Coturnix japonica: one gene and its partners. The protein of the gene in region 2 purifies or fractionates together with the protein of the main gene of each other region. This does not show direct contact. Links are inferred from orthologs where the notes say so. Each region holds a gene or a part of one and is shown on either strand. Other genes may lie near its edges. The genes, in order: C1QBP, LSM14A and EIF4ENIF1.

The links.
Region 1: the proteins of LSM14A (region 2) and C1QBP purify together in Homo sapiens (affinity purification with mass spectrometry; 3 studies listed by BioGRID and IntAct, with this or other methods). This does not show direct contact. The link is inferred for Coturnix japonica from reciprocal best matches to the Homo sapiens genes LSM14A and C1QBP.
Region 3: the proteins of LSM14A (region 2) and EIF4ENIF1 purify together in Homo sapiens (affinity purification with mass spectrometry; 3 studies listed by BioGRID and IntAct, with this or other methods). This does not show direct contact. The link is inferred for Coturnix japonica from reciprocal best matches to the Homo sapiens genes LSM14A and EIF4ENIF1.

What each region holds. Positions count from the first base shown.
Region 1 is NC_029534.1:2,454,112-2,458,158, reverse strand, and holds C1QBP (complement component 1 Q subcomponent-binding protein, mitochondrial), read right to left. Parts: upstream 2,536-4,047; 5' UTR 2,488-2,535; coding exon 2,277-2,487; intron 2,187-2,276; coding exon 2,036-2,186; intron 1,955-2,035; coding exon 1,864-1,954; intron 1,664-1,863; coding exon 1,568-1,663; intron 1,329-1,567; coding exon 1,206-1,328; intron 997-1,205; coding exon 847-996; 3' UTR 585-846; downstream 1-584. Other genes in the region: ATP-dependent RNA helicase DHX33, read right to left, coding at 3,151-3,459.
Region 2 is NC_029526.1:9,453,701-9,457,349, forward strand, and holds part of LSM14A (protein LSM14 homolog A), read left to right. Parts: intron 1-3,170; exon of another isoform or gene 3,171-3,186; coding exon of another isoform or gene 3,187-3,205; coding exon 3,206-3,369; intron 3,370-3,649. UniProt on the Homo sapiens protein: Essential for formation of P-bodies, cytoplasmic structures that provide storage sites for translationally inactive mRNAs and protect them from degradation. Acts as a repressor of mRNA translation. May play a role in mitotic spindle assembly.
Region 3 is NC_029530.1:7,960,313-7,963,961, reverse strand, and holds part of EIF4ENIF1 (eukaryotic translation initiation factor 4E transporter), read right to left. Parts: intron 3,637-3,649; coding exon 3,453-3,636; intron 2,786-3,452; coding exon 2,706-2,785; intron 2,359-2,705; coding exon 2,219-2,358; intron 2,050-2,218; coding exon 1,965-2,049; intron 1,055-1,964; coding exon 922-1,054; intron 232-921; coding exon 1-231. UniProt on the Homo sapiens protein: EIF4E-binding protein that regulates translation and stability of mRNAs in processing bodies (P-bodies). Plays a key role in P-bodies to coordinate the storage of translationally inactive mRNAs in the cytoplasm and prevent their degradation.

The DNA of each region.
Region 1 (4,047 bases), on a different chromosome or scaffold from region 2:
TTCGTGTTTAACTTCAGGTCCATGACAGTGTTTTTAATGTATCCTTCTGTTCTAAAAGCAGGTTCCTCCTTACAATCTTACCCACTACACTCAGGACTATTAAGTATTGCCCTGGAATCAACAGGGAGGTTGATCAATAGTCACAAAGTATTCTGCCTCTTCTCGTTGTTCTGTCCTTGGCTGCCTTCAAGCTGAAATAAGAGGCAGCTCTTTAATGCATGGCTGCATGGTGCGGGAGCATCTCCTGCTCTGCCACTGGGGCTGACTCAGACCTTGAGGCATCACCTGGACGCAGCAGGTTGAGTAGAAGCCCAAATCTGCTGCTCTGCAATGCTGCTGATGTTCAGCATCCACAGGACTTGAATTACTGCAAGGAAAGAGCTCCAACTTGTCTGCAGTATTTTTCTAGAGCAGATGCGTTGATACTAACAGGTACAGATGGACTAGATTGGGCTAGAATAGCCCTGGAGAAAAACTGGCCTAACACTGCCCAGCTCTGCAGGCAGCTGCATTAACTTCTCAGGTCAGGGAACACACAGATATCCCTTATGGCAACTGATCAACATGAAGAAAAAAACAACTACTTTTCAGGGAGTTTTGAACACATTTTATTATTCACCTTCATTCCTAATGGTACAAAATGCAGCAGGGGGAGGCAGGTCCAGACAGTCCTGTTTGAGAACCTGAGCTGGGCTGCAACGTAGCATAAATACAAGTGAGGCCCCTCACTGTCCCGTGATGCTCAATTCCCAATTCAGTTACTCCATCTCTGTTGTGAAGATACGTTGTGGTTCTGCTGGTGGAGCACTGCTGTGTAATGCCCACACTGAACGCTGCTTTCCTTCCCTACTGACATTTAACAAAGCTTTTAAGGTCTTCAAGGAATTTAATGTACTCCTGATGCTCCAGCGCAGTGCTGAGCTCAATTAACTCATCAGCAAACGTGTTATCCACTCCTCGGTCAGCCAGGAAATCCATTAAGTGATCATACAGAGCCTGCAACAAGGAACAGAAAACAGCCTTAGCAGAGCACAGCTTCAAATCCTACTTAACTACTGCAATACAATTAGGCTTGTGGGCTCCCCCCTTGTTCCTCATAGAGCTGGTGCTCCTGCTTGGTGCCAATAGCTGCCATATCACCTCCAACAGGGTGAGCAAATGATTCATGATGGAATAGGAGTACAATGTAAATCAGCAGCACTTACCCAGTCGAGGGAATCCGTATTGAGGGTGTAGTTGGTGTCCTTCCAATCTGATTCCCCGGTGGGCTGGAAGCTGACCTCCCTAATGGTGAAGATGTCACTTTCTTCCTCTCCCTCGTGGCCAACCTGAAATAGGAAATGAGGCACAGGATGTATTAGCTGTAATTAGAGGGAACCATCAGCTGCTTCATCCTGCAGGTGGGAACACAACCCCCTTAATGCCACACATTGAGCTGATCAGAAGGTCAGGACATGAGCAGAAAGAAACCCATCCCATCAGTTTCCTTACAGAGATAAAACCTGTGTGAGGAGAAAAGAAGGAGGCAGCATTTTGTGCAGACACAGGAACCCAGAGCACAGCTCACCTCATCCTCGGGGTAATGGCAGTCAAGCACGAGGGTCTGCTTTGTATCATCCTTAATGACTTCCACAACAAAGTTTGGAGTCGATGTGATATCGGGCTGAAGGAGAGAAGCAGCCGATCAGTGCTGAGGGCTGAGCAGGAGCCAGCACAGCCACGAGGTGCCCGCAGTGCTCAGCAGGGGGTGGGATGGTCCATGGGGGTCTCCCAGGGCCGTCCTGCTCTGTGTGTTCCCACTCCCAAAATCAGACTGAGCACACGGCGGCCCTTTGTGGTCCCCTGGCTCTGTGCTGTGCTCACCTCCTCCTGCTCCTCGTGTTTCTGCTCCTCCGGCGCGTCCTCATCCACAGCGGGCGGGATGCTGTTGTTGATGTTGAAGGTAACCGTGATCCTGCACAAAGGACACGAGTTAAACCATCACAGCCGGGAAGGCCCCGCTCGCATCGCTCCCGTTCGTTATTTCATTGCTCACTTTTCCCCGGCGACTTTGCGCACCAGCCTCGCCTCGGTGCCGTGCACCTCCAGCTCCCACCCGCCCGACACTTTGGGCAGCGCTTTGTGCTTCTGGATCTTCCGCTCCTCCTGGATCTCATCCGTCAGGAACTGAGCGAACGCTTTGTCCCCTGCGGGGAGAGAGAAACCGCTCAGCACCGGCACCACCCCCCGCATCCACCCCCACCTCCATCACCACGTGCGGCTCCGTCCCGACTCACCCTCCGTGTGCAGCCCGCCGCAGCCGCAGGACACGCCGCCCGCAGTTCCCCGGCGCGGTCTGAGCAGCGCCGCCCTCCAGCCAACAACAACATCGCTCCGCTGCCACAGGGAACGAGCCGGGAGCGGCTGCGGGACGGACCAGAGCGAGCGGAGCGGGGACAGAGCGGGGCGGAACGAGGCGGCGGAACGAAGGGCTCGAGCGAGCAGCATGGCGAGAAACGGGACGAGGAGGAGGAGAATGACCCGGACGGGATCGGGGCGCTTCCGGAGCTCCGCCCCCGGTAATAAGGGGAGGGAACGAGATACAACGCGGAGTGACCTTGGGGGAGAGACCAGAAGGTTCCAAAGGAGGAGCCGGGCGGGGGGAGCCGCGCTGAGCAGCGCTCCGAGCGGACAGATGAGGCACCTCCATTCTGACAGTGAAACAGCACTTTGATTTTGCTCCTTGTATGTAGAAATTTATTTATTTGTCTTTATTTTCCATCGGTAAAACCTGCCCGGAACACAAACTGAACCATCAACAAATAGAGAGTTTGCTGCAGGAGCTGCTGGGCTCGTTTCCTTCCAGCCCCATCCATTACAGCTCAATGTTAAACACCAGCACAAAGCAGGTCCCGTTTTACACAGCAGCTCTTAACACCACGATGGTTCAAAGCCACAGGTTGCCATGAGTGCTGCCTCTCACAGAGAAGCCATTTTCCTCCCAGTTTTACACCTGTTTGCGATGCAAAACCCCGCTGTCCCTGCACAGATCACAGCCCAGCCCTGCACTGAGCCCTGCACTGAGCCCTGCATTGAGCCCTGCACCGAGCCCTGCATTGAGCCCTGCACTGAGCCCTGCACTGAGCCCTGTATTGAGCCCTGCAGCCCCACTCAGTTCTTGGCTGCTCTGAGTTTCCTGCGGAAATAGTCAGGTGCTGCATCATACAACCAGTCCGCGTCCACCACGCACAGGTCCCGCATGTAGCACTTGTTGGTGTGCAGCAGCCCGTTGTAAACCACGCAGCAGGGTTTGCAGTGGAACAGCACGGACGAGGGGTGGATGGCCACGGGCTGGTGGGAGCTGACGGTGCTGTAGGTGCCGTCCGGCTGCAGCTCGGCCGCGTTCATGAAGAGGCTGTGAGCCAAACAGCGGCGGATGTTGGAGGTGTCGGAGCGGGACGACTCCATGGGCAGCGATAACTGCAGGGACACAGACACGAGGCAGCAGGTCACAGCGTGCAGCACAGACACGGGCATCCCAACACATCTAACACTGCGAGCACAGCTGAGCCAGGAAGCACAGAGCACTTCCCTGCACTCCCTTTGACAGCCTCAATCCATAAGACAGGGACCATAAGCCCTACAGCACTGAAGCACTGCCCCAGCTCCACTTGCAGGCTCTAAGAATCCCTCCTGCTTGTGTGAAGGCAGAGACGGGCTGTGCCTGGGTTGGATCCATGCCCTGCAGGGAAACCCGGCACACTCCTAAAGCTCCAATGGCACTGAGCCCATCCTACACACCCTCCATCATCAGGGGCCTGGATGAGCTGGAGGCCACAGCAGCAGGTGTCTGCATCTCTGCATCACTGCAATGCAACACAACACTCACTGCCATTTGTTATTTGTTCCAATTGTATCAACCTGCGCTTGTCTGAAGGTGGGCAGCTGTTCCCACAGTGTTCTCATGCTGAAGAACAAGTGTGTGCACACCAGTGGGGGAACAGCCCCCTGCAATGGGCTGCTGAGAGCAGGCAAGGTTATGTCCTAAATGCAGCTGGCCTGGATAAC
Region 2 (3,649 bases):
AAGCTGTAGCAAAAGTTGTAGCTTTTCTTGTGAGTTAAAGGAATATAGGAACTCTAAAAAAATGTTGAGACTGATAATGGAAGGCAGCGCATCTTTTCACAAATTGCTTGAGTCTATTACTATTTATAAATAAAAACTCCAATTTAAAGTATTGCATTACACAACTGTTTCAGGCTTTTATATAGTATTGATGCACATGTTTCCTTTGGATTTGTAGTTTTCAGAATGTAGTGTTTAGTCACAAAATAAACCCCTTTCATTCTCAATTTTCAAATTAAATTAGTTTGAAATGTCCTTTCAGTTCTGTATTTTTATTTTTTTAAAAACAATCATTGGATCCAGACTTTTGGAGTGGGCTGACAGGGAACCACAAGGTCATGTTTTCTTTCTGAAAAGTGGTTCTGCCCTGCCTGTGAGCAGTTGTATCATGTAATCATGGCTGGGTTTTGTTTATCTCATATGTTGCAGTGTTAAGAAAGTAGTTGTTATCTTTCAAGCTGGTAATACGTATCTTTCTATTTCAAGACACTGACTTAGAAAGAGATTTTTAACGTAGGTAAGTAAGCTATGTAAGAACAACCAGGCTTTGTTCCCTGACAGCTGGGTAACTGGGGAATCCTTAGGGATGTGAATATGATGAAATGAGATGCTATCTTCCTGCTGTAATGCATCAGTTTTCACTTATCAGCTACTGGGACTTTGTATGGAGTTGCGTTGGGCCATTATAATTAATAGATACTAAATTCATGCTTCATTAATAAGCAGTTAGTATTCCGGTGTTTTCAGCTGGCTGTGATAGTATTATCCATAGTTTGATGACACGTGCAAGAGCAAACTGTGCTTTGCAAAATGTAGAAGAGTGAGAGGAAATGAAAATAAGTGCATTAAAAATGTCATCTTGTAAGATTTAAACGGACTGGTAAATCCATTCAAAAAAGCAGTCATATATTGAAACTTATTTTGACTAACTTCAACATTACTACTACATAGCATACTTTAATACGTCTTACTGTATTATTGCTACTTCATTATCCAATGTGATCATTGTAACTTCCCCTGTCAGTCAGCAGAAAATCCAACACCTGAAAAAATACTTCACTAATGAATTTGTGTATTCTACTTGCAAAAAAGGGCTCTGTTCTTCTGCAAAGTGAATTATTGCAAACATGTAATTAATCAGTCTTTGCATACAGCACTCAGACAGTCTTACCAGCCTTACTTTGTGTGTATCATGTAAATACTGAAGTCAGCCTTTCTTCTCTTTTAAGGGGTCTGTGGTATGTTTGATGACCGATGGAAGGCTATCATTACCAGAACAAGTCATTGCAATTATCTCTACCCAAAATTTCACCAGTTTTTCTCTGTAGCATACTTGGATGGCTGCACACCATTAATGCAGTAAGATTAATGTGAAGGAGTCAGCTTATAGTGGGCTCATACCCATTGGAACATTAACTCAGTCTGCATTCTTGTACTCATAGGAGCATTAACAGGGAGACAAGATATGGGGGAGGTAGCCATGAGTGGGTTTCATTTTGCACACACAGTTGATCTTGGCACAGATAAACCTCATAACGTGTGTGCAGTTTGTTCCTTAACTGACCCTGAAAAACAACTTCTTAAAAACTTAATAAAATCTACCCCTTTCCTTTTCTGTGCTCTCCTGTACTAAAGGAAATGCTCAGGTCTTTGCAGGAGTTTAAGCTTTTACTGGCTTCGTTTAGCAAATTAATATTTGTAGAAGTCTAAAAGAATCATAGAATTGCTCAGGTTGGAAAAGACCTTAAAGTTCATCAAGTCCAACTGCAACCTAACCATAATACCCCAACTAGCAACTCAGCTAAATTGTGATCCTGAGCACCACATCCGAAGGTTTTTAAGCACATTCAGGGACGGTGACTCAACTACCTCCCTGGGGAGCCTATTTCAGTGCTTAACAACCCTTTCAGTAAGTAAGGTTTTCCTGATACCCAACCTAAACACTCCCCCCCCCCCCCCCCTGCATCTGTCTTTTGACAGCTTGTAAACACTGTAGTAGTGTTCAGAGCAGGCTTCCAGTTGTGTAGGAATAGGGAAGTTCAGTGTAGTAGATATGAGTATCAGCTAGTAGTTAGAACCATTTAGTGTTGTTTCTCACTAGTTTGTTACAGTGCAAAAAAGGTTCTTAAAAAGCTAATACAAAGAGCTGCAAGGAATTACTGCAGCTGCTGCATGTTGATGCTCAGTAGAATTTGATTGATGCTTTATTCTTAATTTCTTTCAATTCACTGATTACTTTTTGCTTATGAAGCTCCAGCTTTTGTAGACACGTCTTTTGTTCCATGTTGTTTTCAGCAAGGATTGTCACACAAGGTGTGGAAGGGCCTTGAAGAAAGTAGCAATGTGATGCTCTATTCACGTATGCATGTGGTGTTTAGTGGGAAGGGAAAAGCATGATGAGCATCATTACATAATCTGGACGTTGTTGGAAGTCAGCTAAGTACATATAAATATATGTAACTTGTCAGTATGCTGCACACTGCATTGTTACGCTTAGGAAGATAATCCTGCCAAATTAAGTTAACTTAATTTGCTGAAAATCATGTGAAATTTACACCAACAAGCAAAATACCTTCTGCTTCGTGAAAATTGTCTACACATACTACAGACAGCCTAACTTTGACTTGAAATATTCATTCAGATCTTGAATCTACTGAGAAAAAGTTTGCTTTTGGTCATCTTTCATATCTTCATTTCTGGTATTTCTGGCATGATTTTTTTATTATTATTTTTTTTCCCAGTTTGTAAATACGTAACATGAAGTACAAACTCATATAGTCCTTAATTTACGGGACTGGTTTACCAGCCTTTGTTGCTACATGGCATCTCTGCTGATAAAATTAATGTCCAGAGAGTGGTAACACAAGCAAAAACCACTTTGTTGCTTCCCCTCGGTTTCACTAAGCAGTGGAAATATTCAGCCCATGGCCGTGCAACCTGTGCTTTAGTAAAGAACCAAAGAGGCACCTTTCTGCTTCAATTTGAACTGAGATTTGCAAGATCAAATTCCTTGTTTATGTCTGAGTAGTTAATAAAGTTAGAAAAGAGTATGCTGCCTATATAAGTGTTGTGCTCAATAAAATCTTACTCTTTCTATTTAAAATTGGTGGTCTCTGCGGTATATTTGAAATGTTAATTAAATGCGGGATGGTTTCCATTTTTGCAGTTCGTTCCTTTGGTACAGAAGATAGACCAACGGACAGACCTATACCGCCTCGAGATGAAGTCTTTGAGTATATTATATTCCGTGGTAGTGATATTAAAGACTTAACTGTCTGTGAGCCACCAAAGCCTCAGTGCTCTTTGCCGCAGGACCCTGCTATTGTTCAGGTAAGTCAAAATATATTTTATGCATTTGATGCTTAAGATATAACATAGCAGATTTGAGTGCTCTCTAGCTGAGAGTGCTTAAAAAATCAGATCTTTGTTGAAGTTCACAAACCAGTGTAAAGAACCATTAAATGATTTTTTTTCCTCTTCTGAATCATGTTCTTAACTATGGTAAAATCAGGGTTGAAGTCTATCTCTAGCACAGCTCACTGGACACAGAAGTTAACACATTTGTAATGACTAGCTGGTTGATAAGGCAAAAATCTTCATTATTCCTTGC
Region 3 (3,649 bases), on a different chromosome or scaffold from region 2:
GTACTTGATGAACAGGACGGAGGAAAGGGCCTCCTGGCACTGGGGAGGCCATTGTAGGAGTCTTTCTGCCCGCTGATTTAGGCCTGTAGTCTTGCTCTTTGGTGCAACGATTTGCTTGAGTAAGAGGCGTGGAACATGCAGAGCGCTGCAGTGCAGGTAGTTTGGTACCTAAGGTGGGCAAAGTTTCTTGATCTGCATTCTCCACAGAACTAGACAGTAGATTATCTGTAGCTAGAATTGAATACAACTATTATAGTCCACAGCTAAAGATTACATCTAATGAAAATTAAAGGTAATGACTTTTAATGGCTAAGTTCCAGGAATAGCTGAACTTTACTCATATTTATGTATTTAATAGGAGACTTCTGGCTTTCCTGAATGACTGTAAGCTACCTCTCTGTTATTAATAGTATTGAAGTACAACTGAACAAGTCTTACTGGGTAAATCGGTATTAAGCATTTCTTCTTAATAGCCACTTATGTCAGTTAAGGTGACAAAACACTTCCTTAACCAGCTACATTTAGAAGAGGTTAACTGGTCTCAGCTTTAATTGTTCAGTTAAGATGTTGCAGGAGGGCTATAAGTTGCTTTTATTATTGCCAGTATTGTATGCAGTTATTATTGTTAATATGTTTATTCATAAAAAAAAAAGCTGTAAATAAGCACTTTTTGTTCAGGCCTCCTATGGTCAGTACCATTTACAAACAAGAACAATATAGGTCTGAACCCAACACTGCTGGAATAGTACACTCAGGTGTGTACCTACTTCATAGCTCTCTAACCCTTCTTATAGATCCATTTTTTACACTTGTCTGCACTCCATTAATCAGAGGTATCTTAAGTCAGCCTGGACATATGTGTTATAGCTGTTCAACTCTATTCCGAGTCTCACGTATGTTAGGTTAAAGCCATTACAATACCTTCATTTGGCCTCTGATTTTCATCTTTACCATCACTGACTTTCAGTTTCCCAGAAACTGGCTCCTCTTTGCTCTTCTCCTTACTCTCATACATCTTGCGAATCACTGAGGTAGGTGTAAAGGAAGGAGACAGCTGCAGAAAACACAATAAAAAGTAGTTAGTGCTAATTACCAGAGAGCCACACTACCTTAGTTGTGGGTAGACACCAATTCTAGTACACTCTTTCCATTTGAAGCTCTGTTTGATCAGTTACTTAATTCACCGATTACTTTGGTTCACAATATTTCATCACTTCATTCTGTAGCTCTTCTCCCTTTTTGTCACAGTTTTTGATCTTTGGTTCTTATGGAGCTAGTTGAAACCTTACTTGTATTAACTCATGGATAACAAATCTACAGAAAATTGCCTTAACTGTATTTCTTCCCATCACAAGTTATAGCATTTGTGGAAGCCACTTATTTGTTACATATACAAAGTTCTTGCATCTGTTTAGCAGCTGACAACTTATACTGGCCCTGAACTGCAAGCACTTGACTGATTAATTGGAAAGCTTAGATCAAAGCAAAATACTACTGAAGATGGGGAGGCAGCAGTCATATTTGAGGCTTTTGTTTTTCAAAAATGTATTTCAGCTTTCAGACATTTAGATGTGTCATTTCATACCTGTGCTGTAGACTAGTGTTTTCTACAGTGCCCAGCAACTTTCAACCCTTGTTTCTTGGAAGCCTGGGCATCAAAATACAAGGGCCTGCTCTTTCCATATAGTTATCTTCCTTTTGTTTGAGAAGACTGGGTCAAGGAAACACTGATGGGGCTTTCTCAGTTTTGGGTAACACACTAATTGGAAAAGGCTATTTTTCAAAGTGAAGACAATCAGTTAAGCATCAGGTGCAATTAATCCTTGTACTGACATTACAGTATTGCCCTTATGATTCAATCAACTCCTCTTTACATCCTTCAGCTGACAATAGTTGCTATGATCTTGTTACTGCTGCTACCTTTACAGCTCTCTCTACAGTCATTATGTATTAGGGGTACTGACCATGCTAGTAATGGATGCTGTAGGGGCTGGAGAAGATGTATTCCCTCTGTGTCCCGGTGCAGGTGATTTAGTCACTCGCTGTTGTCTGTTGAAGGACAGGAAGTTAGTTCTACTCATGGCTCAGAATAAAAGTCAAGATTGCCAATAAATGATGCAAGCTTAAGTCACAATAGTACCAATATTTTCTGAAAGAAAAAACCCAAGTGAAAAACAATTGACAATATGCCTTTTATGTTTTGCAGTCAGATACCTACCTGTTTCTATAGCCATCTCTGTTTTTGTCCATCTGTGGTTTACCAAAGCCATGCTGATAGAAGTTTGCTGCCTGTATGGCTAAGTCATGTGGCAACGCTAGTCCCTCTAATGCAGCTTGTTGTATTTCCAGGGAACTCATCTGAAGTGGAGTTGTGTTGGAAAAGAAAACAGCACAAATCAAAGGTCTTTTTAAAAAGACAAAGATTTACTGCTGTGTCTTCACAAAGCATCTGCCCACCAACAGCCCTCTATTTTACTGAGGGACAATAGATGCTTAATAGCTCTTAACATACCATAAGACGGGTCTAATGAGGTTTTGAGACTGTACTAAATTAGACGCCACATTCTCATATTTAGAGTTAACTGGAACAAGCATGTAATACATGTTTACTCAATACACTTCCACAAGTTTTTTTCTGGACTCCAAAATACAAGGAGAAAGATTAAGCAAATTTAACGTGTAAGCAAAAAGCACTTAAGTCTAACCTGTGCAGCAACTGGGCTCATGGGCTTCCTCACACCTGGAAATGGATCACCAAGCAATTGCTGAGAACCTTGTCCAAAACCTAATGAAAAACATTAAACAGTTGCATCTAACACTTTTCCTTCCAGTATATGACATATAACTTTAAGTAAACCATTTAGACCTGAATTAAGGATTCCCCGTGAAGATTCTCAGCTTCCCATTTAGTCAGTTCCCAAGCAAAAGATAACCTCCTTCCTAAACCCACTCCTCTTCCTTTTTATTGCTAAGCATTTCATGGCACGGAGCAACTCTTCGGTTAATTCAGGTCATCTGCCTAGCTGTGCCCCTCAGTCTAATCACTGGGGCTGCAGAATGTGAAACAGACAAGGCCTCAACACTGCGCAAGCACTGTTCGGCAGTAGCTACAGCAGCATTCTATCAGCTTGTTAGATATCTAGAACCCAGCACCGTGCCAGCTGCTATAAAGAGAATAAACCCTTACCCAGATGCAAATTAGCTTCTTATGTAGTAGACCACATTTCAATGCACCAGCAGAATTTACTCTGAGTTCCAGCTGATGCTGACTTGTACATTTTTGTGATTAAACAGAGACCAACAAGGATGATATGTTGTACACAGTCAAGAGGCAAACACTGTCCTACCACTGCCTACCGTCAGTAAGCTTACTGTTCTATGAAGCGTTCTTTAAAAGAGAGTGTACTCATTCAAATAAGCCAAAAGAAACACTGTTTTGCAACAAGCCATACCAATAGGTGAAGATATTCTATGGCGCAGGTAATCTGCAGAAGCAGCTCGAGTTGGAAACACAGGTGGGATAGGGGGAGAGGGCGCCCTCTGTCCCAGTAAAGGGGCTCCAGGTTCCAAGCCACTTATCAGGCCACTTAGGACATTTGATGAAGCAGGTCTGGTAACAGGTGGGCCAAGAAGTTCCTATGAATACATA